Oryza sativa Japonica Group: one gene and its partners. The main gene of each other region encodes a partner of the protein of the gene in region 2 in a complex. Links are inferred from orthologs where the notes say so. Each region holds a gene or a part of one and is shown on either strand. Other genes may lie near its edges. The genes, in order: actin-related protein 2/3 complex subunit 3, actin-related protein 2/3 complex subunit 2A and actin-related protein 2.

What was found.
Region 1: actin-related protein 2/3 complex subunit 2A (region 2) and actin-related protein 2/3 complex subunit 3 share a complex: the UniProt entries of both Arabidopsis thaliana proteins name them as parts of the arp2/3 complex. The link is inferred for Oryza sativa Japonica Group from reciprocal best matches to the Arabidopsis thaliana genes DIS2 and ARPC3.
Region 3: actin-related protein 2/3 complex subunit 2A (region 2) and actin-related protein 2 share a complex: the UniProt entries of both Arabidopsis thaliana proteins name them as parts of the arp2/3 complex. The link is inferred for Oryza sativa Japonica Group from reciprocal best matches to the Arabidopsis thaliana genes DIS2 and ARP2.

What each region holds. Positions count from the first base shown.
Region 1 is NC_089036.1:7,662,931-7,673,882, reverse strand, and holds actin-related protein 2/3 complex subunit 3, read right to left. Parts: upstream 5,073-10,952; 5' UTR 4,938-5,072; coding exon 4,935-4,937; intron 4,475-4,934; coding exon 4,366-4,474; intron 4,263-4,365; coding exon 3,993-4,262; intron 3,257-3,992; coding exon of another isoform or gene 3,246-3,256; exon of another isoform or gene 3,183-3,245; coding exon 3,040-3,182; 3' UTR 2,648-3,039; downstream 1-2,647. UniProt on the Arabidopsis thaliana protein: Functions as a component of the Arp2/3 complex which is involved in regulation of actin polymerization and together with an activating nucleation-promoting factor (NPF) mediates the formation of branched actin networks.
Region 2 is NC_089035.1:27,104,121-27,115,105, forward strand, and holds actin-related protein 2/3 complex subunit 2A, read left to right. Parts: upstream 1-5,581; 5' UTR 5,582-5,757; coding exon 5,758-5,819; intron 5,820-5,902; coding exon 5,903-5,969; intron 5,970-6,599; coding exon 6,600-6,807; intron 6,808-7,343; coding exon 7,344-7,513; intron 7,514-7,693; coding exon 7,694-7,771; intron 7,772-8,060; coding exon 8,061-8,193; intron 8,194-8,276; coding exon 8,277-8,368; intron 8,369-8,977; coding exon 8,978-9,034; intron 9,035-9,515; coding exon 9,516-9,587; intron 9,588-9,657; coding exon 9,658-9,681; 3' UTR 9,682-10,097; downstream 10,098-10,985. Other genes in the region: membrane-bound transcription factor site-2 protease homolog, read right to left, coding at 1,177-1,353, 1,811-2,140, 2,265-2,696, 2,772-2,849, 3,143-3,290, 3,453-3,577, 3,629-3,703, 3,986-4,052 and 2 more; uncharacterized protein, read right to left, coding at 10,222-10,473. UniProt on the Arabidopsis thaliana protein: Functions as actin-binding component of the Arp2/3 complex which is involved in regulation of actin polymerization and together with an activating nucleation-promoting factor (NPF) mediates the formation of branched actin networks.
Region 3 is NC_089042.1:17,331,963-17,342,682, forward strand, and holds actin-related protein 2, read right to left. Parts: upstream 6,490-10,720; 5' UTR 6,377-6,489; coding exon 6,335-6,376; intron 5,669-6,334; coding exon 5,558-5,668; intron 5,465-5,557; coding exon 5,330-5,464; intron 5,186-5,329; coding exon 5,114-5,185; intron 5,022-5,113; coding exon 4,943-5,021; intron 4,815-4,942; coding exon 4,765-4,814; intron 4,227-4,764; coding exon 4,123-4,226; intron 4,008-4,122; coding exon 3,939-4,007; intron 3,856-3,938; coding exon 3,792-3,855; intron 3,722-3,791; coding exon 3,653-3,721; intron 3,542-3,652; coding exon 3,458-3,541; intron 2,881-3,457; coding exon 2,822-2,880; intron 2,596-2,821; coding exon 2,529-2,595; intron 2,349-2,528; coding exon 2,265-2,348; intron 2,080-2,264; coding exon 1,999-2,079; 3' UTR 1,584-1,998; downstream 1-1,583. UniProt on the Arabidopsis thaliana protein: Functions as ATP-binding component of the Arp2/3 complex which is involved in regulation of actin polymerization and together with an activating nucleation-promoting factor (NPF) mediates the formation of branched actin networks.

The DNA of each region.
Region 1 (10,952 bases), on a different chromosome or scaffold from region 2:
AACTTATCATTTTGTGTTGTTATTGATATTTATTTTTACAAACTTGCACTACCAATAGAACTAAAGGGAATAATATATGTGGAAAAAAGCTAGACCTTTTTTAATCAGATGATAATAGTGAGCATTATTTTTATATGGTTCATTTTTTTAGAAAGGTAAATGAAGTCTAAATAGCACTTGCTGATTTAGAAGTATATATGCATATCTTGTCTGTGTCTATGACTCTGCTATAGGTAATTATGTATAAATGCCTGGTAAGTTAGAAAACAAAACAAGGAAAAGATTGTGGCCAAAGAAGAGTGTGGACATAAGGTAAATAACAAATGGAATATTTTTCTTATGTAGCATGTACTATATTGCTCTGTGAGAATCACAGCATGAGTTCTCTGGCATGGAGGCTGATGGCTCTAGGAGGATCTGCCAGCAATGCTATGGCTATCCCTGGCAGACGTGAACTGCACTGCTATTTGGAATAAACCCTGCTTTGATCTTCAAAGATATTTGGAATAAACCCTGCTTTGATCTTCCAATGTCTTTGAGTATGTAGCTGCCGTTTTGGGTCATATAGTAGAATGCACGCATGGTATTTCTTCCATGGATCTTCAAAAACCTCTGGAATTATTTCTACATCCTTATAAACAAGACCAACTTTGGATTTGGAGATTCAATAATCACTTCATAGCAGCATAGGAAACTGACAAGTTTAAATTTGGAAAATCAGACAAATAGCATCATACCCATGTTGTAGCGTGGTCAACAACTGTTTCTATACATAGACTCTGAGTTAATTTTCGTCCAGTGTCTTAGTCACTTAGGATGTGGGTACTTTACTGCATGTGACTCAAAATCATAAATTGCTAATTCCCAAACCTACTGGCACTGGCTTCTTTTCCTTTTTGTTCTTAAAGTCTTAACAGATCACTATGGTGTTTTATTCCTTGCACATATGTTTTCTTTGCTCGGCTCTTGAACATGAAGGTATGCGATAGCATCTGACAGAACTCCATCACATGCTGTATGCCATAGCCTTGGCCTTGTGCTAGAACCAATGAATTTGCTTTAGCAGCGGAATTTTGTCCAAATGATTTAGACTAATATCTGTATGCTGAGTGGTAGCCCTTCTTATTGCCAGTTATCTCCATTGTACAATCCTTGGTAGATAGATGTGTTGTAGAGGACTGGGGACTAAAGATAACTTCCATTGAAAGCTGTGGATATCTTTGGCCATATCTCTACAAGCCTACCATTTCAAACAAATTTAACTTTTCAAATCAAATTCAACCAATGAGATTGTGTGACACATACCAACTGTGATGGCCTGACAATTTTATCATACATGCTCTTTGCAACATCGTTAGTTTGATACTTTGATTGATTATCTCATCCATTCAATGGGTAATATCTCTTGTTAGTTACTTGGTTTTTGAGCAAGTTCCTTTTTATTAGCTTATATAATCATCATTCTTTAGAAAATTATAGCATGGATTCCCAACAAAAATTACGGTACCTATTTCATGCTAATACTAAATATCTCAGGACCACACATTTGAGAAGGTGCCTGGGAGGTTTGGAAACATGTTCATCTGAGGTGTGCTGCAAAATTTGGTCTGGGTTTAAAAACAATAAAGAGGTTTCCTCTTCTTATCCTGTGTAGTGTTTGTGGAAGTAATTTGATGCTTTCAACCATATCATGCTTCGTCTTACTTTTAGCCAGCTATCTTCATATATGTAATATGGTAAGAAATGCATGGACTGAACCTGTTTTTTGTGTCACATGTAAAGCCCCCTTTTCTGCCTTATTTGCAGAACCATAACTAACTGGCTATTTACTGGTGAGAATCTTTGTGCAATGCTATCTGGAAAGCTTGTAACTGGGCTAATTTCCAAACCTAGCTGTTTTTGAACACCAACATATTATTTACTATGCTGGGCAAACATGTAGAAAGGAAGACCCGGAGATGGTTGTTGAATTAGCCAGTTTATTATACTCTGATGAAGATTGCTGAAGCAACACGTTGGATTTGCTCATGCCAGGATGATGGAACTTTTAGATGGTAAAAACACGCTAAAAACGACATTTTAGTCTTCTGATGTCCTTATGTCATGGGATTTAACTCTGTGATCAGGTTGAGATCTCTCTCTCTCTCTCTCTCTCTCTCTCTCTCTCTCTCTCTCCTTTTTTTTTCTTTTTTCTTTTTTTTTTGTCGAAGAGGATTTACACAATGTAACAGTTCTGTTGGGCGTTGCGTTGGTGGTCAATAATGCTTTTCTGAACCTATGTATGAATACCTGGCATTAGATATCCTTTGTGTCGAATGATATTTTGTTTTTCTGAATCTATGTATGAACACCTGGCATTAGATATCCTTTGTGTCGAATGACATGGTGACTGACAAGCCATAGAGCTTGAATATCACCTCAGGTCTCAGTGATGCAATGGGCTTTGCATTCAAATCGTTTATAAGCACCTTGTATCAAAGAATGCTTCATCGAATAATGAAATTAACCATGCCAATTCACACTTGAGGTGTTTATAAGCAGCAGTTTACTCCCAACGTTTGGCAAGATCAGGGAAGCGCACGTCCAGGTTTCTCCATATCTTATAATCATATTGAAAAAAAAACAGATAAAGGATTAACACGAATGATACAAAAAAGAGGGATCAGGAAAATATATATTCACATTCTCATTACACCTGATTAAATCTGTACAAATGTCCTACACGGAACATTCGCTATTCAAACATCATCTGAAAAATACATGCCCAATTTAAGGGCACGGACGGAGTACAATAAAAATGAAAAATAGAAATTCAACATAACAGCTGAAAGGTGTCCTTGTGTTCATCCATTGCAATAAACAAATTGTTGACATTCTATCCATTGTTTCATTAGAACCTTTGGCTCCATCAATCGAGGTGTAGAATCATTGTCGTTCCTTTAATTCTCTAAAGTATTCGCAGAAATAAGTACGCAAGTGCAATTACCATTCCTACAAGCTGCTCAATTGCTCAAACATGTCGCGGAAAATACCTATACTTCAAAGAATGACAATGTTCATGAATTTCCTCTTTGCAAAAGCCAACCACCATTTGTTTGGAGTACCATTAGCTCTGTATGCGCAGTTAAGCAACCTTCCACTTGTTTCCTCCCTTATCTGCTTCAGATAATTCCTCAATAGTTCTGAATCCAACAGAGAAATGCTTAATTGAGATCACATTCCATGAGAGATGGAAAGTTACTGTTTTATTTAGTCCCTAGAAGTAAAAAAAAAACTGATGCAATTACAACTTGGATGTTCCTAAAAACAGTTGTCAATAGTCAGTAAGCAACTTATTGCTTCTATACCCAGAGCAGACTTATAGTTTAGACCATAGAAATTGACAAAAAAAAAACATATATACAGGACATCAAATAAGGAGTTCACTACAGATTTAGTTAAATCCAAAATAAAAGTATCTAAGACATAAATTGCTGTAGTTTGGAAAGGTCCCCTTGTAATCTCACAAAAGCTAAATTTCCAATAGGCTTCATTCTTTTGTTTTTTCCCTAGCCAGGACAAATAGTATGGTATAGAAGAAAAGCAGCATGGATAAACAATTGGGGGAAAAGAAGAAAAACTAACTATTCGAGAAATAAGGCAAGCTTTTCTCTAGGAATAAAAAGCAACAATGATTTCACACAGTTGAGAAACTACTCCCTTCGGACTGATAATACTTATCGTTTTAGACAAGGGTGAGGTCAAATTTTAGAATCTTTGATTATGAATCATTTTTAAAATATGGTGACTACATGTATAGATTAGTCTTAAAAAGTACTTTAATAAAATCATATATTTGTTAACACCTTTATACATATTATAATTAAAAATAATGGCCAAAGTTGTTTTTTGGAAAGCGTGCTCTTGTCCAAAACGACAAGTATTATCAACCCGGAGGGAGTAAAAGAGAATACAAGCACACAAATGTGGTAGTGGCGGATGAAGTCATATACCTGCTTCCTCCTGAGATTGGGGTAGAGTGAAAAGACCAGGGAAGGGAAACCCTGGTTCCCCAGGCACAGGAACTTTCTCCAAACCCAGATTAATGATTGCCTTTGTCCCAACAGCCAGTGTTCGGCAACCTTCCAGCCTTTTCAGGGCAATATTGATGTAAAATGTCAGATAGATCAGTAACTTGTCTGCTGGGCTTTTCACATTGAAGTTTTTGAAGAAGACATTTGCTCGGAAGAATGTAATTGCTTCATCAACAATGTCAGCCTTGTCTGTAATAGCACGACATAAATCAGCAGCTTGGCATGGTTCTGTCAGAGTGAAACCACGGAAGTATATCACAATGTATTTTATGTTGTCACCGTGTCAGTATACCTTGATCGAATGCTGGCGCTGGGCCCCTTATATGAGTTTTTAGTGGAAGCAAAGGACAGCCGCATGCTTTGGTAATCCCGGTGTCATCAACAAAGCTAGAGTGATAAACCTGTCCACAAGTAGAAAAAAAGCATATGATGTTCAGATAACGGTACATTGCAAGCAAGTGAGCAACAGCGATCTAACAAAACAAGGTGGAAATACAAGGAAAATTAAAGGTGAAAACCGAGCAAAATTCTTGTATTCCACACAGGGCCTATAACACACCAATCTAATAGAACAGGTACTAAAGTATCTTCCAAGACCTCCATTCAAGAGTGCCACAAGCTGCCAATATTATGTACAGGAGCGGATCCAACTTGGGACATGGGGGTTCAAACTTCTCGGGGAATAAACAAACTGTTACTTGTATTAAGGTTAAGGCTCTGAAATTAAGGGAAGAGCTTCTTCCAGATCTAGAAGAGAAGCTAGGGTTAACGAACGAACGAACGAACGCAAGCAAATTCCAGACAAAAGTAGTCCCGATGGGAGAGAGAGAGATGAATCAGAAAGAGGATGCGGATGCTCACCATGAATCCTCTCCCCTGCTCTGCTCGCCCCGATGGAGATCGCCGCCCCTCCCCTGTTCAGCCGCGACTCGTCTCGGCGGCGCAAGGAGCGGAGGAGACAAAGAGACGGGAGATTTTCTTTTCTTTCTTTTACGCCACAAAGGGAAGGGGAAGACGCTCAGACTCTTACTATTGGGAATTATTAAGAATTTACCGCTGGTCCCACATGTATATACGGACGGACGAGTCTACGGATCGTGCGTCTGATCGGTTTGGAGAAAAATCGGACGCTTTACGTGAAAAACTATTTTAAACTGATTTTTCTCTTAAATTACTTATCCATATCATAATCCGATTGCATCATTAAATTCGCTGCAATTAAATCTTCAAAACAAGGCCACACAGGCATATATTTCGACGAAAAAAAATTTACCTTATTATTGAATTATTTTTAAATGTTGCACGATGTTCCACCAGGTATATCGGAATTGTTTTACTAAGTAGATCGAAAATATTTCACTCGTTTCAATTGGGTGTTGTTTTACCTTATATAAAAACAATGTTTCAGCAAATAGTGAAAGAATGTTTCAGTTCACTGCAACTTTTGATCCATATATAGTGAAACATTATAAGTACACTAGGTGAAACATTTTTCGGTGGAACAAAGAATAAATCAAATTCCCTTAATAGGGGGTTTCCAAAATATGTGGGTTTTTTTGTTGCAATGGAATATTTTAGTTCACTGCAACATTAGATCTATACATAGTGAAACATTATGAGTACACTACGTGAAACTTTTTTGGTGGAACAAAAAGTAAACCAAATTCCCTTAATATAGGGTTTTCAAAATATGTGGGTGATTTGTTGCAATAGAGTTGTGTGTGTGGACAAGTGGCAGGTGGGGACAGGGGACATGTGGTGGGGGCCCAAAGAGATTGCTGGTGCGCACGTGATGGGGGAAGGGTGGAGCGACCGATTTTTTCCCCTCCCCTCGCGCGACCGAGAAGGAGCATTCTCGTGTCATATACACATAAGGATCCACGTATTATAGATTGTGAGTAGTAAATTCTTAATTACCATATTTTAAAAATGGTAAAAAGTTAAAAGCTCTAGACGAGTACTCTCACCTTTATGATATCTCAATATTTTACTACTTTATAAGACTAGCTATTTCTTTATAATGACTATTTCTTTATAATGACTAGTGGTCCACATTCTAAAAATTAACAAACTCAGTTAGCGATTTGAGTCGACAACAAACTCTTCATACTACCAGTAACCACTAACTATTACTCCACGCACCGCCACCACCACTCTTTCTTTATGAGCCACCATCGTTTCTCCTCTCTGTCTTTGCATGCGCAACTGCACCCTCTAGTTGCACTCCATGAGCCATCTTTTTTTCCTCTCCCTCTTGTCATGCATACTATTGTAGCGACTCACGGAGGCAGGAGTCGACCCGATGAAGAGTGGAGACGCTAGATCCAGGCTCCTTCTTGCTGGATCTAGCGGTTCCCCAACTATCGGGGGAAAATAAAATGGAGAGAAAGAGAGAGTTAGTGTGTGGTTATAGAGTCATTGGACTTGGAGATGGATGAAATAGGTTGGTCCAAATTGAAATGTAAAGTTAGTTGTTCTGTAAATGAAAAGAATGGTTAAAGGCTGACATAATATGAAAACATTTAAGAATACATAGTACGAACTATAATTTACTTTTTTTTCTTTAGCACAATTAAAGATGAGTTGTCTGTTATCCGATACTCCTGTGATATACAATCAAAGATGAGTTGTCCATTACCCGATAGTCTTGTGATATATTAAGTATTGTTGGGTCAGTGTACTTGGCTATTACTAATAGTCTTATGAGTTATGAGTTATGATATATTGATGCATGAAGATGCAGACTTCTACTAACACGGGCTGATTAATTATAGTCAGATAGATTTAGCTAAAAAAAGATAAAATTAATGCCATCAATTTTGCTCAACAATAAGGGATTCGATTGTGGTCTCCTTTTCTTACTGCATGATATACGATTGTAGGTATTTCCGTAATTCTTTCATATTATTTTTTTCTACATATACATTAATTTGGACTAATACTTTTTCTCATAATTAAATAGATAATAAATCATTTTTCATATTTCTCCTATAAAATGTGAAGATGGCATTGTATAATTTGAAAATTATATTATAAGTGTATGTAATTTAATGTGTATGATATGAACTTATAGCATAAGATTTAACTTTTTATAAAAATGTTGCACGATAGTAGATAGGTAATGAACTAAACAACCATAAAATATAGGGTAATTTGGAACCATGCCATTATAATTTTTCAAAATTTGAGATATGCCATCGGTATCTCAATGACATGTAGGACCCACATGAGTCAATGACATGTGGGTCAGGATGACATATATCAGATTTTGCAAAATTATAATGGCATGGTTCTAATTTTTCCTAAAATATATAGAGAATCCATCGTGTGTTATTGATTTTGTCCTTATTCTATAATATGTCACTAGGTTTGTCAAGTTCTAATATGCCATCGCACTTTGTTTAACTTCTATAACATACCATCGTTGTCTACTTAGCATCTGTTAGTATTATATAATTTTATCATAATGACCGAAATAGCCATGGGACGAAAAATTCCAAATATCAGATTGTAAAACTTCCAAAGTTTGAGATGAATATCTTCTCTGCCTTGTTTATAATATGATATTTCAGAATATTCAGCCAAATTTTGGAATTTCTGTCCCGGGGATATTTCGGTCATTAGAACAAAATTATACAGTACTAACGAAGTCTAAATGGACGGTGACGTATATTATAGAGGTTAAGCAAAATACGATGGCATATTGTATAACTTAACAAACTCAGTGCCATATTATAGTACAAGGACAAAGTAAGCGGCACATAGTGGATTCTCTTAAAAAATAATCTAGTCAAAAAATGTTTCTTTATTTTATTCAAAACAAAACATTTTTTTACCGAACACATTAGGAGAACTTCGAAAGAAGGTAAGAAAAAAAAAGGAGGTTTAGTCATTAGCTCAAACACACGTGGGAAAAAGTTACTCACATTCATGGTATGGTATATACTCACATTAATCAATAATATACTAATATTAACAAAATTGTTCTTCGTCTTAATACGGTGTAAAACTAAAGTTTTAATCTTATATTCTTCTGTTGTTCCATCTTCTTCTCGCTTTCTCATTCTTATTTATTTTTTATAATAATATTGCTACAATCAGCACTAGTACTTGCACATGAATACTAGTAGCTAACTCATATGTGTGTGCTCTGTAATATATATTATCTATGTTTTTACATGAGTAAATAATAATTAGTATATTTGTTAATAATATTGTAATTATATAAGGTACCTAACTAGTTTTCTAAGAAGTGGAAAGATATTTTTATTAAACATAATCTAGAATGCTATAAATAATCATATAATTTTTTATAGATGAATTAGAGATCGACACTTGTTGAGAATCCAATGATAATAATGCTCTATATATACTAGTTGGCACCATGCGCCTTGCCACGGGATTTGCTAGTTTTATCATCAAATAAAATCAATGTTTTAAATAATTAGATGTAACTCTGTATATAAACAAAATAAATGATAATGTGGCTTCATATATAGCCTCTGCTATTACAATACAATTCATGTTTTATTATTTTAAAACGTCATTGTGTATTGTTATGATATACGTAAGTTATTTTCATGCACAATATACATGCCGTCATAATTAGAGTAGTTTGCACATCTTTACTTTATCTCAAGCTTATTTCAAAAATAAGTTTGGATTAATAATGCCTAATTACTCTATGTTATCCAATTGTTTATAACAAAACAAAATTCATATCTTATATAATAATTTCATATTAAATAAAGAAGATAAGTTTGCATTATCTTGGATTGCTTGGGAGGAGAAAACATAATATTATGTACAGAATGGATAACAATGTCACGCCTACTTATAATCTAAAAGAAGGTGACTAGATGAGTAGCTTCTTGATCCAACGGCTGATAACTATGTACTAATGCGATCCAACGGCTTAGAATTATTGATGATGTGGCTTCTTGCATGCCATGACGTGGTTTCTTGCATGACTTGCTTTATATAGGAAGATATGATTGTTTAAGAAGTGAGTGATGATATTCTAATTAGAATGTGTTTGCACTACAACAAATATACATTGTTGAGACATTTTCCTAATACTATAGAGACATTTTTAAAATGCCTTTACAGTGTTATAGAGACATTTTGAAGAGTGTCTCATAAGTGCCATTTGGTGAATTGTCTCTACGAATTAGAATTATTGATGATGTGGCTTCTTACATGCCATGATGTGGCTTCTTTCATGCTTTGCTTTATATAGGAAGATAGGATTGTTCAAGAAGTGAGTGATGATATTCTAATTAGGATGTGTTTGCACTACAACAAATATACCTTGTAGAGAGATTTTACTAATACTATAGAGACATTTTTAAAATGCCTTCCTAATACTATAAAGACAGTTTTAAAATGTCTTTACAGTGTTATAGAGACATTTTGAAGAGTGTCTTTTTAAAACGCCTTTACATGCATTTTTAAAATGCCTTCCTAATACTATAAAGACATTTTTAAAATGCCTTTACCATGTTATAGAGACATTTTGAAGAGTGTTTTATAAGTGCCATTTGGTGAATTTTACGGCAACTATAGCAAATCAATATGAAAAAGAAAGAATTTACGGATATTCTAATTAGGATGTGTTTGCACTACAACAAATATACCTTGTAGAGAGATTTTACTAATACTATAGAGACATTTTTAAAATGCCTTCCTAATACTATAAAGACAGTTTTAAAATGTCTTTACAGTGTTATAGAGACATTTTGAAGAGTGTCTTTTTAAAACGCCTTTACATGCATTTTTAAAATGCCTTCCTAATACTATAAAGACATTTTTAAAATGCCTTTACCATGTTATAGAGACATTTTGAAGAGTGTTTTATAAGTGCCATTTGGTGAATTTTACGGCAACTATAGCAAATCAATATGAAAAAGAAAGAATTTACGGCAAATATAGCAAATCAATATGAAAAAGAAAGAAAAATATTATCCCTTACCAATCCTTGAACTCATGACCTCTTGAGTTGATCATTTTTTATCTTCAATGTACTAACCATCTCAACCTCATATAATTAAATGTAAATATGTGATTTGTGTTACTTATATCTAGTTACTTGATATATATTAATATTTGGAAAAATGTCTTTACATTATTTTAAATGCCTTAAGAAAGTGCCTTTACGTATGAGGCAAATTTTAAAGTGTCGAAAAGATGTCTCTAAAAGATAAATTTAACAAAGTATCTTAAAAATGTCTCTAAAGTGTCTCTATAGTAAAAATAAATATTTTAGGTGATTTTAAAAATGCCTCTAAAAAGTGTCTCTAGACTATAGAGCTTCAAAACTTAGAGGTATTTTGAAAATTGTCTCTACAAAAGAGCCTCTACAAAATGTTTTTGTTGTAGTGTTGGCAAATGAGTTATGAGAGTAGGGATTGGGAAAGAGAAATGGATGAATGGCTAGGATTAAATGAGGTGTGATGAATGGATGGACAATATTTATCTCTATCCCATTTGCAAACAAAGTCTTACTAGTTACATGTCTATGTATTAGAATGAGATTTAAAGATAAAAATAAGATTTAGTTTATTTCTAGTCCAACTTTTATGATATATTGGGCTTTATATTTATTTAGAGATAATATTGTATAACAAATAGATAGTTTATTTTTTTTATAAGTAGATTAGTTTATCGTACACCCATTTATAAAATCCTACGTCCGCCACTTATGTATACTAAAGAAGGTTATGGTCCTTTAATCGTCTACGATAATAAAGCAAAGTTCTGGCAAGTAGCAACTTGTAAGATTCCACTACATTTTTTCAACTGATGGATCGACAAGTCTAGGACCATAAAACTAGGCAACACCACCGTGCCACCAATTTACAAGCACAATTGCTGTTTCGG
Region 2 (10,985 bases):
TTGTAATGTAGTGATAGATTGGTGCGATTAGTTGAAGTGTGACGTAGTTTTAGGCAAAAATGTCAAGTAAAACTGTAAATGTACTCCCTCTGTTCCCAGTATTAGATGATGTCTACTCTGATATAGTACTACTAGGTTTAGATTCGTAGTAATAGGTAGTGTCTAATCGGTTACTATGGCTGTGTTTAGATTCCTACTTAGGGTGTGTTTGGTTCCAAAGTTTTTTTCCAAACTTCCAACTTTCCATCACATCAAACCTTTTATACACACACAACTTTTCAGTCACATCGTCTCCAATTTCAACCAAATTCTAAACTTTGGGCCAATCTAAACACAGCCTTATTTCTTCAAACTTCCAATTTTTCCATCACATCAAATGTTTAGACATATGCATGAAGCATTAAATGTGGAAGAAAAAAAACCAATTGCACAGTTTGCATGTAAATTGCGAGACGAATCTTTTAAACCTAATTACGCCATGATTAGCCATAAGTGCTACAGTAACCCACATTTACTAATTATGGATTAATTAGGCTCAAAAGATTCGTCTCGCAGTTGACAGTCCAAATCTGTAATTTGTTTTGTTATTAGTCTACGTTTAATACTTCAAATGTGTGTCAAATACGTCAAAAAAAATTTGGCACCGAACTAAACATGGCCTATATTTTGGGATGGAGATGGAGAGAGTACACTTATTTTCCTATTGTTTAAAATTTAAACATTTGCCTAGTTGATCAGAAAGATATGCCTGCAATGACGATTTGTTCTCTAAATAAAGTGCACCAAATTTAGAATCATGACAATAACAGTTTGACATGTTCACTACCAAAATCAAACAGATCTCCACCGAAACATGTTGAGATCAATTGAAATTTGATATTCCCGTTTTAACTTACAACAGTGAGGTGCATACCCACAAACCCACTCATATCTTGGGTCAAAATATTCTACAAGCATGAGGGCTCGGGAATTGTCTAAATTTTAATCATAAACTCACTAAAGTTAAGGCCACTTTGTTCTGTAACAATGCTGGCCTGCAATTTTGTCAGGAGACCAGGAGAGCATCCGTCTTACATATTACCAGTATTGTGTATGATCTCATACAGTTGATCAGATCTATGGTATTATGATAAGATAAACTCAAAAAAAAAAAAGAGACATTTCCATATAAAGGAGTTATACAAAGCCATAATATAGTGTCATGGAATACAGGGTTCTTGAGAACAAAACAATGGACAAGATCGTCCACAAAAAGCGGCAAACCTTAAGAATATTGCGCTGCTGTCTCCGAGTAAACCAAGAAAAGTAGCTTAACATAGTCTCCAAAATCGCTTCCCCGTCAAGAAAGTACACCTGCAGCGTTTCATGGTTAGGTGCTAAAAAAAGTACTATACTGTGCACGCAGTATGTTACTTTAATGCAGTGTAAATTTAAGCCAGGTGCTACAAAATCGAAGTGACTTCAGAAAAGAAGAGCATAGAAAGCTAAAGCATTCTGTAACCAATTGATTTGTATATGTTGGGGTTTCAGAAGAATACAAGGAGGAGCTTAAGCAAATAGCAACAACAATAGGCCAAACGGCAGGTTTCTAGCAAATATCAGTACTTCAAGGGTTTCAGCTTTCAACTTTCAACTATCATATCATGCATGTTTTTACTTTTCTCAAATTATTTGCCAAATTCCTTTGCTGCAAAGAATAAGATAAAAAAAGAAGGAAATCCTACATGTAGGGCAATGTCATGAGGCACTGAGGCATGATGTGAGAATGTAAGATGAACAATAAAGAATGAAACTTCAATAGAGAACATACTGGTAAGCAATTGACTACAGCCAATGCTGCAGACACACGAAATAAACAACTTAAACCATCTTGCAAGATACGAGGAACATCTGCAATGAAAAGCAAGAGAGGCCATCGAGGTCGGTAAGAGGATAACTTAATAGAATGTGCTGCTGATAACAGATCACCCGCATAAACAAAAGTTCCCTGGCAAGGACCCAATCCAGGGTTATTATTTCCATCATGCAGCAATGATGAGTTCCTTTCTTTCTGTAAGCACTCCAAAGAATAAGGTCTGGCATAAGAGATCTCTATCCATGAAATCCCAGGGCCTAGAACAGGCACCAAACAGTACTCATCCTGTCAGAATCGATCAAAAAATGTATAAATAAGAGAAAGGTAATGCAAAAGGATAAGCGATACTATAATAAGGAACCAATCCTCCAGGATTATTCCTAAGGGCTCTAATTCAGTGTTATTTTACCTCCAAACATGCAAAGTTGCTTCTGCCATCTTCGGCCCCCCGCCATCCATTTCCACATTTTTTAAGCTTGACAACATCTTTTGCAATCAAACAATATTTGTCTTCAACTTCCTTCTTGCCAATACCTTTCTCACTCATTCTTTGAAAGGCTACCAGATCATCTGGGCAAGATAGCTTGTCATTTATCTGCCAAAGATTCTTGCTTGCATCCATCCATGAGTTGGGAACACAGTAACCCTTTCTAGAACCAGTGGCACGATAGCCTTCAGAGCCTTCAAGGAGATCACGGCTGCTTATTTGTACTACATTGTCCTGAGTAAGCATTTTCATCCATTCATCAGCTCTTGTTATGTTCAATCCATCCACAGAAAGGATAAAATTGTGAGCAGACAAGTATCCTGACAGAGGAGATGCTTCTGGGACTCCTGTAATCTGTTCTGACAGCCTTTTAGAACATGAAGGATCATGGAGATCTAAATAAGGACAAGTTCAAAGAAACAGACTTACCATAAGACCACCAGTCACAAAGAGAGGATACAGCACCACAGGTAGTAATAATGCCATGATGACACATACTCCACATAACTATTAGACATGAAATCATAAATAAACATCATTATGAATGAACGTGCTTACAAAAATATGATAAGAAGCTGCAGCAGTAATGCAGAACTGCCGAACTGGCATTTCTCAAATGTGCTCCTTTTTTTAATTCACAACTTCTGGTCTCTATAGGTTAGCATGCATGCCACAAATACTGAAAATAGATGGAAATGCGCTTTAAAATTAAAAGGAATAGAAATATATGGTCAAATAAAATCAAGATATTTTACTTCTTTTTTAAAAAAAAATAATCCATGCACGCCAGCGTTACTTACCATAACATTATGCCAAATCCCTGCACAATAAATCCGAAGCATAGAAAAAAGAGGTAAATTTTGCAGCTGGTCACAGTTCAGAGCAATTAATGCCCCAGGAAAAAGTGCAGCTACGAATACCGCAACATACTCAATCTGTATGCCCTCGCTGTTGCATATTTAGCAATGAATGTGTCAGCAATGTGCGAAAGGAATACTGTAAGCGGGTGAAAGTTAATATTGTAAGTCAACATATAAAGTATGCCTTCTGCAAATGAATGCAAACACATGCAGAACATCTCGTAGAAAATGTAGGTCAGCAAATAAGGACCTTGCAGCTGCAACAGCATGTCCAAATTCGTGAAAAGCAATAGAAAAAACTGTTGATGCTATGATTGCTGCGATGTCCATTATTGATATGCCAAAGCTGGAAGCCTGCAATAGATTAAGGGCATGCTGAATGGTTGATGTTAGAAGTTGAAAAATGAAGGGACAAATTGTAGTCACCAGTAGATTTTGTAGCCAGGTACTAAATGACCGACCACTGAAATAAACTGCACCAATTGAGTCCCACAATAGCATCTGAAACATGCAACAGACCACAGTACATAAACGTGCACATTTCAAGGCAAGTACAACATATGAAACTTTCCAAAATTTTAAAGAAAGGATGAAGACCACTACTATCCCAGTGATATCCTACACAGTTCATAAAAACAAATGTCGAGATTGATAGGGTGTGCTGGCTGTTCTAACGATTTAAGCAACAATGTCAACAGATTCATGATATAGGTAAGGTAATGAACATTTTTTAGTTGGCATACGTATTTCAGAGTATTGGTAATTATTCGACACTGAACTTACCACTGATATTCCAACTAAAGCAACAACAGAGAAATAAACCCCTGCAGAAAACCATGCTCTCATGTATCTGCCAAAAAGAAAGTTAACTAATTTACCATAACTTCAAATATCTTGGCATCAGCATAGTGAGCAGCAAGGAAACTATCAATATGGTTACCCCATCAGATTACACCTCCCCAAAGGGGCATGAGCTAAAACTTTCAGCAACAGCGAAGAAATTTAACTCCAAATGGTACAGATGGCTCCTAGAGTGCATTTTTTCTCATTCTTTTTAAAGAAAAGAAACCTTTGCATCTTATGTACAAAAATGAAATAAGGTGCTAACTTGGCTATATTCTTGTTTATAGTATGTAAAAGTCCATGGGTAATTATATAAATATATTCCTCTTTTCGCGGGGAAAAAGGGTACAATATGCACATCAAAGAAACACTGAGTAATTAAAGAAGATAAAAGGTCAAAAGTTAAGATAAAGCATACCTAGCATATCTCCATCCCAAATTAAATATGATGTCATTGAAGGAATATATTTTGCAGTCACAGTACCTAAATTTTGTATAAGCACAGTAAGTGAATATAATAATCATTGCCTCCACTAATACAAAATGACAGGAGTAAACTGCATTGAAATATACAAGAAATTGAAGAATAAATGAAAGATAAAATACGTGTCCAACATCTCATGCAGTACTATATAGAGTCGAATGCAATTTTTCCATGATAAGCTGATAAGCAGATTTAAAAGGAACAGAGAAACTTGTTGTCCTGAAAATTAAAACCATTCTGCGGATGGCTAGATGCAGGGGAGACAATTCAATTTATCAGGATTAGGGCTGAGGATGAATGGTGTATCCCAACAGCAGGTCTGAACCAGTGAACCCAACAGGATACATCACTGAAATTTGGTAAATCGATACAACACACAAATCGAATTTTCACCAACTGTTGAAAGTGTACTACTAGAAGAATGGAAACTACAACATTGCCAACCCATGTTAAATTTCCAAATCAAGCTTTATAATTTCGCCTAACGGTTGCCCGCATCCTACAAGCTCTAAATCAAGCTCTGCTCTACAAGAAACCAATGTAAAAGTACTGGGAAAATAATTACGAAGAACGCAAGCATAGGCTCGATTTAGCCGCGACTTAGGGTTTGGTGAGGGTAAGAAGCTAACTAGTACTACTAAAATCTGACTAGATCGAGCGGTTTTGAGTCAGAATCTCTCTACTTCACTGACCAGCAAGAGACGGAGTGCTCGGCGCGGCGGGCGGCGGCGCTCGAGGGCAGAACTGGCGGCGCACGGCCACGCCGCCTGCTGCGGCCGACGCCGCCGATCATTCCAGCGGCGACGGCGACGGCTTGGACACGGCAAGTTTTGGGGGGGGGGGGGGGGGGGATTAACTGCGCAGGGCGGAAATCTCAGCCGTCCGATTCAGATCGGAGGGTTCATATTAGCGATGGATTCCACTACGCCGACTGCTTTGGCTGATTGGCTCTCGCATTGTCACATTTAGCAAAGGAGCCCCTCCAATTTCACCAGATTTACATCTCCACCCTCCTCCTCCTCGTCTTCTTCCTTCCTCTTCCCATTCTGCTCGTCCGTCTCCGATTCGCAGCCACATCGACAGATCCAGCCGCGCCCCTGATCCAGTGGTAGCTCGAGCGAGGCTGCTATCACGGTGGAGGATTTTCGTCTGATTCGAGGAGGAATCGGTCGGGTCGAGCAGAGGAGCGGAAGAAGAAAGATTGGTCGGAAGGAGGAGAGAGGTGGGGATGATACTTCTCCAGTCGCCGTCCAGGTTCCTGCTCCAGATCCTGCAGGATCGCGTCCTCAGGTACGTCGCTGCGCGGCCGACCATCCCCTTTTCTTGATCCCGCTCGTCGCCCTTAGCTCATGCGGGTTTTGTGTGGTTTGCAGTGGCGACAAGGGCGTGGACATCGATTGCCACACGGTGGAATTCGACGATGTGCGGTATCATATCCAGGTAAGTAGTACCGTACTGCCGAATCTGGATATCCATTCTTGTGTGCCGCCTTAAGATTTAATGTTAAAATTGAGCTTGCTATCTATACATTGCTGCATGTGTAGAATGTGTTATGCTATGTTAAATATTTCGGTGCAGAGCTTCGTTCAGTTATTGGTATGTTGTATGCACGAAAATAATACCAGAAACACCTGAACTAAAGAACTGACCTGTTTTCTGGTGCTGAATTGCTCCACGATCTCATGCTATCCAAGTCATTGTTGCTACTGTGGTAATGAAATTGTTCTATAATAATTTGGTAAAATTGGCATCATATATTGGAGTGGATTGTATTTCACCTTCTAATCAAGATAATGAGGCTGCCCGCATATCTTTTGTATAAGCAGCCTTCCATAATATTGGTGATCATTTTCACTTATGAGCATATAATATTATACCTTGCTTGGAGGGTTCTGTATTTCACCTTTAATCAAGATAAACTCCTTAGAAGCTTAATTATCATATTTCCTTTTTCTTTTATGAATTTATTGAACTCTTGACATTACTTCATTATACATGTTTTGGGTGTTGGGATCAACTATTACCTGCTTCATATTTGATTTCCTAATGAATGCTGGTCTTTGGTTCCAGTTTTCTATGAGGAATCCAAAGGTAATGGTGCTATCAGTAGCATTGCCCCTCCCACCTCCTGAGGCCATGCTATATGATGGACTTCCACTTGGTGCTATCGAGGCAATAAAGGCAGCTTATGGACCAGTCGTTCAAATTCTTGATCCTCCAAAGGATGGCTTTGATCTCACAATGAAGATAAACTTGACAAAGCTTCCGCCAGATGAAGGTTCTAGAGTTCCCTTTCCAAGGTTACCATTGTCTTGTTGTGCTACATGATTGAATTAGATGATGGTTCTATGTACCTTGAGATGTCATCCATTGATAGAACTTTGGTGCAAGCTAATGGTTAGAAATGGATTCATCGTTTACAAATAGATGCTTTACGAAAATGTCAAATATGTTATGTATAGTGCATTTAATTATCATGGGCTTCTCAGACCATAAATTGGCTAATTGTAGAATCTTTTAGCTATATGGATTGATTTTGATGCCTTCTGTAAATGAAAGAGAAATGGAAGTCAGTAGGTTTTGGGCAGTCCATTGAACAAGTCCATTTCTTGTTGATAGAAGGAATTCTCATATTTCTGTTATACTGTCAGACTTCATATATTTGCTTGTAGATACTTGCACATATTCTTCCAAACATGGTAATGGATCAAATTACTGTTTGTGATTATTTATTTTGGTCAGGCCTATCAAAATCATGGAATCTCTATGTGTATCTTGTAACCATTATCCGGCTAACACTTTAATGTATTCCAGAGCAAAGGAATGCTGTCTTGACTCAAATTGCATCTGTGAGAGAGGTGGTGCTGGGTGCACCACTGAAACTTCTGCTGAAGCATCTAGCTTCAAAGACGGTGGCTCCTAATGTTGACAAGCTTGTTGCTCTTGTTCACCGTCCTAATGAATCCTTTTTCGTTGCTCCCCAGGTATAAATTTGAGAACTCCTATAAATGTATCTATCATACTTCAAAGCATAGTTTTCCTTTGGCAATGAACAGCTAGGTAGGTTCTTAGATATATCAATCTAGATTAATCTATTTAAGAGTTATGTATTTGACGTTTACTTTCAGTTCATACAGTCCATGAGATTAATTTCTTTTTCACAGGCAGACAAAGTTACAGTAGTATACCCTATGAGGTTCCAGGATTCCATTGATATAGTTTTAGCAACTTCCTTTCTGCAGGTATTTTGGACACTTCCTTCTTGTCTCTTTTATCTGCTTCAAGCAATTCATTTTCTAGTTTTTTTATGATCATTTATAGACATCTTCAACAAACCGATCTTTAGGCATTTAGCACTACTTTCATTAAGACTTGAACGGATATATGCCTTAACTTAATGGTTTTGTGAAAGTTTGTCTTGAGGCCATTTCTTGATGGCATAACCATATTATGAGAAGCAACTTATGGAAGGACACAATATGATGGGGCAGCTCTGCCTATTTTGTTTTAAACTTTTCTGGTTAAATCTAGGAATTTGTGGAAGCAAGGCGGACTAGCGCTCTTAACAACGCCCCTTCCTGCTTGTGGTCTCCAGTACCACCTCTTGAGTTAAAAGGAGTACCTTCTGATGCACTAAATGCAAATGCCGGTTTTGTTACTTTTGGTAATATGCATTTAAGCGTTTTCTTCTGTTTTTCTTTTCTATTGAAGACCCCTTTTTTGTCTCACTAACTCATCTTTATGCAGTTGTTTTCCCGCGGCATGTTGAGGGTAAAAAATTGGACAAAACAGTTTGGAGTTTGTTGACTTTTCATGCTTATGTAAGCTACCATGTGAAGGTAAGGTCCTTTTTTCTTATGTTGGCTGATCCATACTTCTCAATTAATCAAGTCCGTGCATCTGTCATCCATAATTGTGAATCAACCAATTGCATCCAATGCGCAGATTTTCCATCAATGGGTTAAATTTGGCTTAGTGAAGATGAAAATCCATTGTTTAATACTGAGCTCTACTGTTATGGACTATTTCCAAGAAGATAATATTCTTTTGGTTGCAAATGGCCCCAAGGAACACACTATTTGGATCTTTTGACCAGATTCCTGCCAAAATACCATCAAATTTTCCTAAGTCTATTCTGGGTGAATTTTTTTTCCAAAGATGAAAAATATCTGATTTGCCCAAGACAGCTGATATTGCTATTGCAGAAAGCCACCTTGGAACAAATTGGAACATTTTTCTTAAGCCACCTTCAGCATGGGATTTTAAGATTTTCATGATTCAGTAGTTGACACGGTACTTTATTGGGACATATTTTAACCTTGCCACAGTTCTCTTGTGCTCGCTTGTGAAACATTTCTCTTTGGCTTATATACATGATTTTTACTCTTCCATGACTTGTGGTTTTTAACTTCACAAGTTCTCAGTCCCTTCTGTTTCCTGTATGGCAGTGTTCTGAAGGATTCATGCACACCAGGATGAGACGTAGAGTTGAGACGCTGATCCAGGTAATACAAACATATCCGTACTAAATTGATTTCCTTCAATATATCCTATGGATTATTTGTTACCTTTATTCAGCACCTTTCGCTCTCAGCTTTGAGTGGTTGTGTAGCGGCAGATGCGGGTTTAGTATCATGAAACAAATAGACTACAAATCATTGCTGTTAATTTCAGTTTACTGGTTTTTCCTTGCTAAAAGGCTGAAAGCTGGTGATGCACCGAGACCACCTGAAATAAACTGATAGGCCATATCACTCCATGCCTTAAACTGAGTATATTTAGTGTGCTAGGAAATTGGTCATGACGGTTTTCGGGCTTTCAAAGAAACTAAATTACGATTGCTCGCATCTAATCGATAACTATTTGAGAGCTACTGCTATGATTCATGGAGGTATCATGGTATCATGTTGTGAAATAACATAGTGACTTGTCCCATGAAGAACAGCACTGCATAACTATTGTTTTGCTGATCGACCTTACGTGCAGGCTTTGGATCGTGCAAAATCTGATGCAGAGAAGTTGAAGAAGTTGGTGAATGGTGGATCTTTCAAAAGGCTGGTTTGTGCAAATACCTTGAATTCGTGCTTAAACCCATCTTTTCTTTCACTGATTAAGACTCTCCTCGCAGAGCTTGAATAATGACGGCAACTAGCGTCAGCGAAGATGCTGTCGGTGTGTCAGTAGAAGACCTTTTATATCCTGGGACCATAGAGCCGCAGCTGGTGAAACAGAATCAGCATCCGGCTGTTCATCGCTTGTTTCTTTTTTTCCGGGAGGATATTCTACCTTGCTGAATTGAGGGTGAGGAATAGATTAAACTGAATTGACCTTAGTGACTTGCGACACCATAACGGCGTATCACCTGAGGACGCTCATTTCTTGTTGGCCCTCCTACATCGATCCATCTTTCTACACTTCCTTCTATGTTTGTTGATTGATCCATCGGCCCAAGTCAGTCTAGGCTATTATGAGTTCGATTTTGTAAAATATTGTTTTCTATAGCCTGTCAGATGATTGTTATTTTCATTGTAGCTGTGCTGAAATGGAAACTCAAGAGCAGTTTTATTACATCATTATTGTTACAGGCTCACACACATGGTGCTCTTACAAACAGAAGAACACTCTAGGCGCACGTACAACAACAAAGTAGCAGCACCATTCTTTCTACCGCACGGTCTTCACGTGAACGATATCACGCGCCGGTCCCGGTGGCCCCGGCGTCGGCGCCGGCGCCGTGGCCGACCTGCTTGGCGTCGAAGGCGCGGTCGTCCACCTTGCGCGCGGCGGGCTCGTCGACCTTGTCCTGCACCTTGTCGATCTGGATGGCGCCCTGGTCCTCCCGCGAACGCAGGTCCGTGCGCGTGCGGTTCTCCCCGCCGCCCACCGACTCGTACGTCGTCGGCGTCGTCTCGCCCATCGGCTGCGCGCCCTGCGCCCCCGACATTGCTGCAAAAGGCTTGGCTCGGCTGCTGCTTCCTTCCTTTACGCTGAACTCTCGTAGTCTCGTGTGGCTGCTGAGGGTGACGCCTCGCCGGGAGAAGCGTATATATAGCCGGGCTGCGATGTCGCGCGGGAGGTGTGCTGCGTGCACGTGAGGAGGCGGCACGGCGGCGCGTGGCATGGGTCAGGAGGAACGTGGCGGGACACATCGGCGTCGGCCGCTGGACTCGTGTCGCGGCAGCGCAGCTCAGGCGACCGTGACGTACGATTTGGCCGGCGCCCAGTAGTCATGCAGCAGGATAAACATCACAACCCAAGGTCTGCACATCTGGGATAATGGCCGGCGTGCAGGATAAACCACCTGGCCTGGTTGTTATCCGGCGGGTGAGGGGTGAGAGCGCGTGCTGCCATTTGGGGCATACGACAATGAATAAAGCCACAATGGCACAATCCCAGCACGACAGCAAGTCGATAGGTATAGGCTGACGCGTTACAGTTTGGAAAAATCCTGTGAGT
Region 3 (10,720 bases), on a different chromosome or scaffold from region 2:
AGCAACATCAAAATGAATATGTTTAAATGTAAGATATTAGTAAAATGCTTTTGATTCGAATCTAATTATACAACTTTGTTGGTAAATAATTAGATTATTTAAAAATATTGCTGTTCAAAGCAGAGCAACTATAAATAAAAACCGAATTAAAATTTTTGAAGCGAGTATGTGATTTCACAGAAAGTAGTGTTGGTTTCTTCCTACGAGATCAAGTTTTTTTTATTACAAATAGGTTTAAGCAACATCAAAATGAACAGGTACAAATGTAAGATATTAGTAAAATGCTTTTTATTCGAATATATACAACTTTGTTGCTAAATAATTAGATTATTTAAAAACATAGTTGTTCAAAGAGCAACTATAAATCAAAACCGAATCAAAATTTTTGAAGTCAAGACCGACTATTATTTAAAAAAAACATGGAGGGAGCAAGTTTTGATTATGTCCACCAAAATACCACGAATATGCTTGGGTGTGGTTTTTGCAGAAACTTCATTAGTATTTTTTAAGAACTTGTCTTAATAAGTAAACTTATCAACTTTGTAATATTTAATTCATTTATATGTGTCCTCAATAAGCTATACCATTTTAAAAGACTCTAATAATCTGCCATCACCACCCTATCATCAAGGAAGGAAGGCGTCATCGTTGAGATTAAAAGAGTGATTGCTGCTTCCTTTGCTTCTTTGTATTGCCCTAGATCTTGTAATCGTGTGGCGCATGCCCTTGCGGAGTTGGGTTGTAAGTGCTCTCTGAATGCTGGCCTTTCCTGGGACGGCACGCCTACGGGCATGGAGAGTATGGTGGATGGCAATTTAGCCAGGCCGTTAAGTTAATAAAAGCTTTTCCTATCAAAAAAAAAAAGGAAGGCAAAAGATCGAAAAGAAAAAAAGAAGAAAGGCAAAAGAGGTATCCTGGCACGCATATTCAGAGGAATTTGATGGTACCGTTCGTTTCAGATTGGACTAGAACTCTGTAATTTTGGGATTCCTTTGGTTATTCAATTCTGGTTTCCGCAATCCTTACATTTTTGAATCATTGGAGCCACTACCCTGGCTTGGTTGCGTCTCATAAATTCAGAATTCCCCGCTTGCACATCATTGGACAATGGATTGTTGTTCACCAAGAGCAACATCGTATGCAAGGCATTTAACTATTGATTTAGCACAATATCTTCGTGTTAAATGCGGTGAACAATTCAAATTCTGCCAAACATCTTGTGTTAAAATGCGGAAAATAATTCAAATTCTACCAAACACGGAAAAGAAACAATTTCAGAAAATATATTTGAGCAAAGAGTACAATTTTGGAAAATGGAACATGACCTTTCCTAAATGGGCTGAGTTAAAGCACAGAACTTGCTAAAAGTTTGCAGCTGATTAAGAAACTCACAGATTTCTTGGATGAAGATAAATATAGGCAGCAAAAAGTTTCATACAACAGTAGAGAAGATGATTTTTACAATATAAGTGCTATGCTGAACAATTAGATGTTTTGTTAAGATTCACGATATACTAAAAAGAAGAATACAATATTGCGATCCATTGAAATATATGCCATCCGCACAAATCTCAAAGCAATTCTAATGTTAAGGGCTTCGTTGTAAATTGACTTTCCCTATCAGTAAATTGATTTGCCCTAGCAGTACAGGGACCAAATGAAGAGCATCAGCTCACCAGTACATAATATAGTAAGTAGAAATATGTGTTGTGTTCATAGGTATATTACCAATAGAAAATGAAATATATCTAATGTTTGCTCATCATGGTTATATGGTGAGTTTGTGTTCATAGTGGCTTCTAGGCTACAACATGCACCAACAAGTATCCTGAACAATAGGGACAACAAACAACACTATGTGCTCATCTTTCTACAAGTAATGTGCATCCATCATCTAAACATAGGTTTCCTTTTTGTCTCCTGCAAACAGAATGAGAGAGCCTTTCACATCTGCTGTTGATGAGAATCTAGGTAGGATCATAGGAACATACTCGACGGCTATGCTTGTCCACACTTCCTTAGGCACGCAAGGCCTTCTTCCTGGTATTCCTGCCTTGTAATCCAGAATTCAGGTGAATCCTGCTAGGTGAACAGCCGTCAGCAAAGTAATAAAGCAAAATGAGCAGATTCCCATGCGACAATGCACACACAGTAATGCATGATTTCATCTTTTGTGCTCCTTTTCTGTTCACCTCTCTACTTTGTCCCAAGGCTTTGCTTATAATAACCGATAGATATATAACGCTGTGGGAAAAGTATATTACCTTCATGATTCCAGCGAGTACTGCACCACCCAGGTAAACCATGTGTTTTCTCCGTGGCGGATCCTCTATCCGCAAACGCAATTTCTGCACATAGACAGAAGTGAAAATGGTCACATTCCTTACTGAAAAGACAACATCCATTATTGAATAAGAAAATGTGTTGCACTGGAAAAAAAACTTGGGAATTTCCTTGTGTTTGATTTCAATAAGCTTATGAAATTTTCAACTGTTGTCAGCTACAAAATAACCACAAAAAAATATTACCTTCAGTCCATCTTTGTTTCCCTTCAGAACCACATCAAGATAGCGATCAAGCATTTCCTTCTCTAGTCTTCAAAAATGTTGTAATGTGTTAAGTCATACCCAATATTGAAGCTTATAAAAACAGCTAAACACATACATTGGTAAGAAATAGAACAGGCAAAAAATCAGAGTGGCATAGACCACCAAAAATGATGTGAGCTTCAGTGTAAAAATAGTGTTGTTTGAAACTAATCGTTAATATGTACTGTAGTAAACAAAAGAAGACAGAGCGGGATATGTTTGTCAAATCTTACCGACTTGGCAGACCAGGATACATGGTACTTCCCCCACTCAGGACAATATGTTGATAAAGCTGCAAGATGTTATCCAGACATCCAATGAGAGAAGAACACATGATCCAATGCTTATCTAGAAGTACTTCATAACAACTTAAAATACAATTAATCAAGTATAGAGACTAACATAACTGGCATTTATTTGTCCCTTCTTGACTTAATTTACATTAACACATACACATGTACTAAATATGAAAAATTATCAACATTTGGAAGTGTGTTCAGCATTTGACAGTAATTCAACTTATGGTGTTTACCTGTGCAAGTTCTAATTTAAGACAACAACATAAAAATCATGTATATATGTAAGTGGATTTTTTATGCAAAACCATGGTCTTATCAAGTTGCTACCAAATAACAAAACAAAGTAATCCTAAATTATCAAAGATTATCTTATGCACAAATTCACTAGACAAGCCATGTGTAGTTGAATTCAAAGTGTGCCTTCGAAATTTCAATTGAAGACTACAGAGGTTCTATATCTAACTCATCAATTCATCAACAATGTTACAAATAAATACTTGAAGATAAACAAAAGCAAGTGAAAAGATTGGAGCAACAAAATATAGCATATTGTATGGGTAAGCTGTATACTGTCATCCGGTTGTCGATGTCCATTTCTTGAATGCAACGGAACGCCATATCTGCCATTCCATCACCCTCAACATCTATGAGTTCCTGCTCAACAAATGTTTTATCAATGTTATGTTGGTACTGATCCTAACAGAGAAATGCATGCCTTAATGTATATCAGCAAGCTATGAAAGAATAGTATGAGTACAAGCTTACAGGAGTAAAAAGAGCCTCAGGAGCTTGAAACCGTTCAGTGCCCACTTTGATTACCCTTCCATCTGGAAGCTGATGACAAAAGTTCAGCCAATAATACAAAAAGGGACCAAATAGAAACAAAGCAGGTTAACATACTTACAGTGTAGCTTTTGACAAGGATAGTGGTTTCAAGTCCTAGCTGGTATTCACGCTTGTAATCATAGCTGTACATATTTTCCCTTTTCAATTCTATGAAATGTGACAGCAAGCTATAGCGAAAACAATTAAGAACAATAAAGCAACTGACCTTAAATAACATAGTTTCTCTTTTATTTCCCGGACTGTTTCAAAGTCGGCAGATTTGTTCATAGCATACCTTTAAAGCACGAAATTAAGTTGATAAGAAAAACACTGAAGCAAACAATTGCATAAGCCTGTGTTTTCAGAGCATCTTTTATCTACAAACATATAAAAATGATAAAGAGTATTACCCTCTTCTTGAGAGTAGATCAACAAGATAAGATGTTATGTGCCTTCCAGCTACATTCATTCTTTTTGTAATATGTGGGTAAGAGAATCCATCAACTACCGGCACCTGGATCATAATAAACATGACGGGCAAAAGTAAATCTAGATAAAACTTTCTTTCACATTGCAAATTGACAATAGTCAGTATTCAATTGCTTAACTTTTTGTGCTTACTACTTACTACACACGTTGGTGATAACCTTACAATGTTAACTGGCTATGTGCGAGAATAACTAAACGGGCACTAGCATGCCATACTAACTATGGACTATGGAGTATAGTTTAAATTATCATTTTATTTCCATGATCGACATTTTGACCAGAAATCATAGATTATGGTGTTCAATGGCTGTGATTTCTACTAAGCCGCCTACAAGGAAACAAGGTATGCATATAGTCTTGGTCATACATCTTCACTGGATCAACAAAAAAAGGTAGATCCTCTTAGTTGTTGAGTTGAGGAATACCCATTAGCACAGTAGAAAATTATAAACATGCATCAGATAGATATTTTTGTAGTGCACCACAAGATTAACAGAAATGGAATCTCTGCATTTCAAATCTTTGTAGATTGTACAATATAGGGAAGACTATTATTATCATACCACATGAGTGACACCATCACCAGAGTCTATGACAAGTCCAGTCAGCAAACCTGGAAAGGATACAAACATAATACATGTTAAGAAAAGAACCAGTACATTTTGTGTTTGTAGGTGTGCAAGCTCATACATGTGTCTGTATACTGAGAGGGGGGGAAGGGGAGAGAGAGAGAGAGAGTACCTTGAGCATATAGCGAAAGAACAGCTTGGACCTGGATGAATACCCCAGCAAAGTTGTATTTCTCAAACATTGTCTCAATCTATTTATCGTAGGATTCAATTTGCTAGTTAGTGATATCTTAAAAAACAAATTTCATAGTACAGAACAGCCAGATGGGAGAAAACAACCTACCATTTTTTCACGATTTTTCACAGGATTGAGTGGTGGATCTGTCAGTAGAATTTTACACTCAGAAGGATCAACCTAAAGAAACAAAATAGAAATACATTGATTTACCTAGAGCTAAGAGATTTCAAGACACATAACGGAGAATGTTGATGAATTATGAGCATATAAATTTAAAAGGGTCTGATGTTAAAGTAATATAAATCATATGAAAAGTCATACTTTCAGCTCACTGTAAAATGCATGATCCCATATATGGCCCATATCATCCCAACTTTGAACAATCCCATTTGTAACAGGATATGATACGTCAAGTTGATGCCTCAAGTCAGCACAAGCCGCTCCAACCACAATATCCTGCGTGGAACACAATCACAATTATAAGGTGTACTGAGAGAGAGACAGAATGAGGGAATGCCAGAAACACAAAGATAGACATTGATTTCAGACCGTCAATTCCTGCTCCTGGAGTGACTCCTCATAACGGAGCAATGGTCGCCCAACAACACAAGGGAACACAGATGTAGGGAAGTTCTCTCCCGCAAAGCCACACTTTACATACTGCAACATTAGCCATTAGGTACCGAATTAGAAATTAACAAGATCACCTATGAATATGATATGTTCTGCTGTTGTTTAAGGCTTTAAGCATATCGAACATCAAGCCACAGGAATGATGTGGAAAATACTTAACAGAAACTAAGCCAAAGACAACAGCATAATTTCTTTTGGACCGCAAAATATCAAACTAATGTGGTTTATATGAATGAACATTATCTATTCCAGTTCCGCATTTGGAAGGACATTATCTAAAGATTCAACAGAGAACAATAATCTCATCGTATTACAGCAATTTTTCCTGCCTATGTGGAGAACAATAATTCCACCATACTAGAGCAATTTCCCCCTTCAATTTCTTGCAATGTGCACACGTATCATTTCATCCTAGATTAATTACAGCTCAGTAGTAAGCAGCAAAACTTATTCGGCACAAATGAATCTAGAGCACAGATGCTAATTACTCCCCAACCAAAGAGAGAGAAACAATCCTATCGTATATATTCAGGAAATTTCAGAAGAAATCCAAGAAACCGTCCAAGAAGAAGAACCGGGACGGAGGGGGTGCAGATCTAGGGGCAGGAGCGTGGAGGTAGAGAGGGAGGGAGGGAGGTCGCCACGCTGGATCAGGGATCAGGCTGCGGGAGGAGGGGGGGAGGGCGGGCTTACCCCGGTGCCGTTGTCGCACACCACCACGTTCCCGCTGTCCATTCCGCCTCGCCGTCGCCGTCGCCGATCGTCTCCCCGCGCGCGCTTGGGAAGTTGGAAGGGAGAGGGGGAGGAACAGAAGGCGAGAGAGTAGGGGAGGGACGGGGACGGGGTTGGGAGAGTAGTCATTTGTCTCACTGACACGTGGAGCCCATTGCCATCGGGCCCACGTGTCAGCGACCACGTCTCTCCGATCTTAAGCAAGAGGATTTTGATAGAGGGAGCTAAATGCCTCCTTTTAATTTTGTCTTCACAAAATTATCATCCAATAAAGGTGGTTTGTTATACTTTTATCTACATGGCCCGCTAGCATAGCAAGGTTAGCAATTTCTTTATATTTCATTTCTTCGCTAGCTGTTAAAGCCTAACAGCCACCTTAATCATAGCAAAGTCCCTATCGTTGTACCCGCTAGTTGTCAAACTAGCTCTAACATGAAGGAGGGCGTCAACCCTGACGATGAGGTGACCGCTTGAGCTCGACAAAGACAAGGTGTGCATCTTGGAACTTGGGTGGCGACGAGCTTGACGTCACATCCTAACCTGGGGAACCCTACGCCCTCTAGTTCCTCTGCCGCCTAGGTCTCTCTTCACAACTGTTGTCCTTGGAGACCCATTGTTATTAAAAAAATACCTCCACTTCTAAGTGGGGACTCCTCCTGCACCAAACTTCCTCTTATCGCCTGGCGAGTTATTTGGCCTCAACGCTTACCTTGTGCTAGAGCTCCTCCAACAATGAGCAGGCATGGTAACAGGGAGGCTTCCGGCAATTGGTAGGGTGGCTACCAATCTACAACGGCTAGCGAGGTGGCTATAAGATTGAGACGACCAGCATGAAGGGGGTAGTATGGTGAGATGAAGAGGGAGAGAGAGGCACTAATCGGGCGTTTAGAGGGTTGCCACCTAATAGTTAAATTTGTCCTCAATTGAAGGGACAGATACTCACCAAGCTAGCGCTACCGCTGGTCAGGAAGCCGAAGCCAGACTAGTAAAAAAACGTTTTTTACCAACGACCAAAGCCTGAGCTGGTTTGATTTGCTAATAGTATTATTTGATTCAATAAATGGAGAATGTAATAATTTTATATGTAGTAGATATAGTGATTAAAAGTATTTGTAAAGATTGAGCGAGTATATTAATGTAAGCCTGCATTTTACTTATTCGTCTTTTTCTTCTCAAATATTGCTAGACGTCTTCAAATTATATTAGTTATAACTATAGTTCACACAATTCAATAATTTAACCTTATTGTCTAAAATGATGCTATCTTATTACGATTGGGAAACTTTTGTTGTTAAGTTCTTAACACGATAAAATTTAGCTACAGGTTATAAGACCTACTCTCAATTTTATTTTTAATTTAACTTCAGAATACTAAAATAACGATTAGCAACTTTCTATAACTTAAAAAAACCAACGTATTTCACATATGATACAATTCAATAGTTTAACCTTATTGTCTAGAATGATGTCATCTTTATATGATTGCAAAACTTTTTGCTCTTAAGTTCTTAACACGATTTTTTTTTTAAGAATTACACGGTACAACACAGACACTCACAACGCATGCACACTCACCCCTATGAATGCGTGCACGCAAACCCTACCCCTATGAGCATCTTCGAAGGATGGGCCGGCAAATCCTGGAGATCTATAAAAACTACTCTCAATTTATTTTTTTTTAATTTAACTTCAAAATACTAAAATAACGATTAGCAATTTTCTGTAACTTAAAAAAACCAACGTATTTCGCATGTGATTACAATTTCGTGTTCATATCAATAATAGTAGCTTGTGAGATGCTCGGTATGTATCTACCCTATAGTTGAACAAATAGTTTTACTCATTCATCATATCACATATCCAACGGTCGAAACCCATCTGAAGATTTTGGATCCAACGTCCCAGATCAGCGCGCGTCCCACACCCCCCTCTCTGCCGCAATCACCGCGCCTCCTCCGCATTCGCGCGACCGCGCGCCTCTCTCGAGCACCTCCCGATCCGATCCGATCCAGACCGGATCGCTTCCCCTCCCCCTGGCAAATCACCGCCCCCTCCACCCGGATCCCTCGCTTCCGCGTCGCCGGTCTGCATTCGCGCCGCCCCCGGTCAGCCCGTATCGCCGGTCCCCATCATCGGCGGTGCCGCCCCCGGTCAGCCCGCATCGCCGGTCCCCATCATCGGCGGCGCCGCCCCCGATCCCCCTCGATCTGCACTGCTCCCGACGAGTTTAACCCTTGCGCGGCTCTGCTGGAGTGTGAGTGCAAGAACAGCGCCGCCGCCGAGAACACGCTGCTCCGGGCGGGCTACGGTGGGTGGCTGCTCTACTCGGCGGCGTCGGCGGGGGACATGGCGTTCGTGCAGGAGCTTATGGACAGGGATCCCTTGCTGGTGTTTGGCGAGGGCGAGCATGGCGTGATGGACATGTTCTACGCCGCCGCGAGGGGCGGGAACGCCGAGGTGTTCAAGCTGCTGCTGGACCACGCCATGTCGCCGAGGTGCTCGACGAATTGTCCCAACGGGGAAGGCGCAGGAGCGGTGGTGGCTGCTCCTCGGTGTTCTGGCTGGAAATGATGAGTAGGGCAGTCCACGCCGCCGCGGGGGGCGGCAGCGTGGAGATGCTGAGGGAGCTCATCGAGCGTCGCTCCGACGTGTCGGAGTATCTCGACTTCCGTGGATCCACCGTGCTGTATGCTGTTGCAGGTAGAGGGCAGCTAGAGGTGAGGCATCTACTTCTTGGCCATTGCTTACTTCTGTAAAATGCTTGATACAGTAACATTTTTCTTTGTGCCAATATGGATGACAAAGGTAGATCCTCATTTCATCAGAATGTTTGGGTGAAATATTTCCATACCCGATATCTTTTGACGTTATGAAACCCATTTTACCTTTAGATGCGCTGCAGGTTATTATCTGGTAATCGATTTCAACATAAATATTAAAGTTGCTCTTGATCATGAGAAAATAGATATATTAAGGAACAAATTATTTTCATTCGTCCTTTCTGAACAAATGGTTTGAGCTTGGAAGGATATTGTTCAGCTAGAATGCTGCGTGTTACCCAAGTAGACATAGAGATATGTAGATAGTTGTAATTAAAGAACATTTTTTTTATCTTATATAATAAGCATACCATGCCCAGATGATCAAGGCTCATTTAGTTAATATCGTCATGCTCAACTCTCCAGTGTATTATGAAGGCAAAGAATAAATATAAAGACCATACTGATTTGGCCTCTTTCACATGGACTTCAAGTTGTGAAATTCATGACCGGATTTTCTTTAGTAATTTTAGTTAGAAGCAACCCAGCGCTTCCGACTGAGATGGTTGTGCGACGACTGGTAGCGCCCAGCAGTTGAGTTCTTGCTGGACAACTGTGGGCGAAGCGGCAAAATGGCTCACGAAGGCCAGCGGCGGCTGGAAATTGACGATGAAGAAGCGGTCAGTGGAATTTCTCTTCTCCATAGCCACTTAGCCTCTCCTTTCAAGATAACTCTGTATGCTTGATGCCCCTCTAATAATAGCTTAGGATTTTTTGAGGCATCGATAGCTGCAATCAGTGCTCATGTCATCATTCAATGACCTGTAACAATTTCGAAAGAACTATGTTGGGCACCAGATGAACCCAGGCAGATGTTCTTTGGATCGGTTTTTGTACACCACAAGGTTCTATCTGCAGGAAATTTAACAAAAAATAAACTGGCCAACTATATTCGCTATGCAATGGAGTTTATGGTGAAAGCTCAGTTGCTTTTTGTTCCATGTAATATCCTTGAATTGTAGTCTGAAACCAACTTCTTAATATAATGGCAGAGCTCCAACCTTCAGAAAAAGAGAAAAAGTCACCTTCTCCTAACTTACCCACTGTGTTGTTTTTTTCCATTCACATGCGTTTGCAGCTTGGCAACTAGAGGAGGAGCTGACTTCTAGATTGATCTGCTCTCTTATTTTCCAACAATGAGCATTTGTTACAGGCAATGAGCTTGTACAGCAAAAAAGGCTCAAATATGAAACCATCTGTTACAGCTTATATGTGTTTGCATTGAATTAGCAAGTACAACAAAGAAGGCTCAAATTTCCCTTTTGTTATTGTTAATACTTCATGAGCTTATGAAACTATTTTAGTAAAATTCAATTCTCTCAATTCCTCGGCCATTGCGCCAAAAACGCAAGTTCCATTTGGATTCCCTTTTTATCAATGATAACCGCAGCACTGTTGTCATAGCGTATTATTATACCGTCTTCGCATTTGAACTCAGTAGTTCCTCATTGAAAATTAGACTCTATAGATATGGTAATATGGAGAATACAAAGTGGTTTGAAGCACGCACAGAACCGGAAGCGCCCTT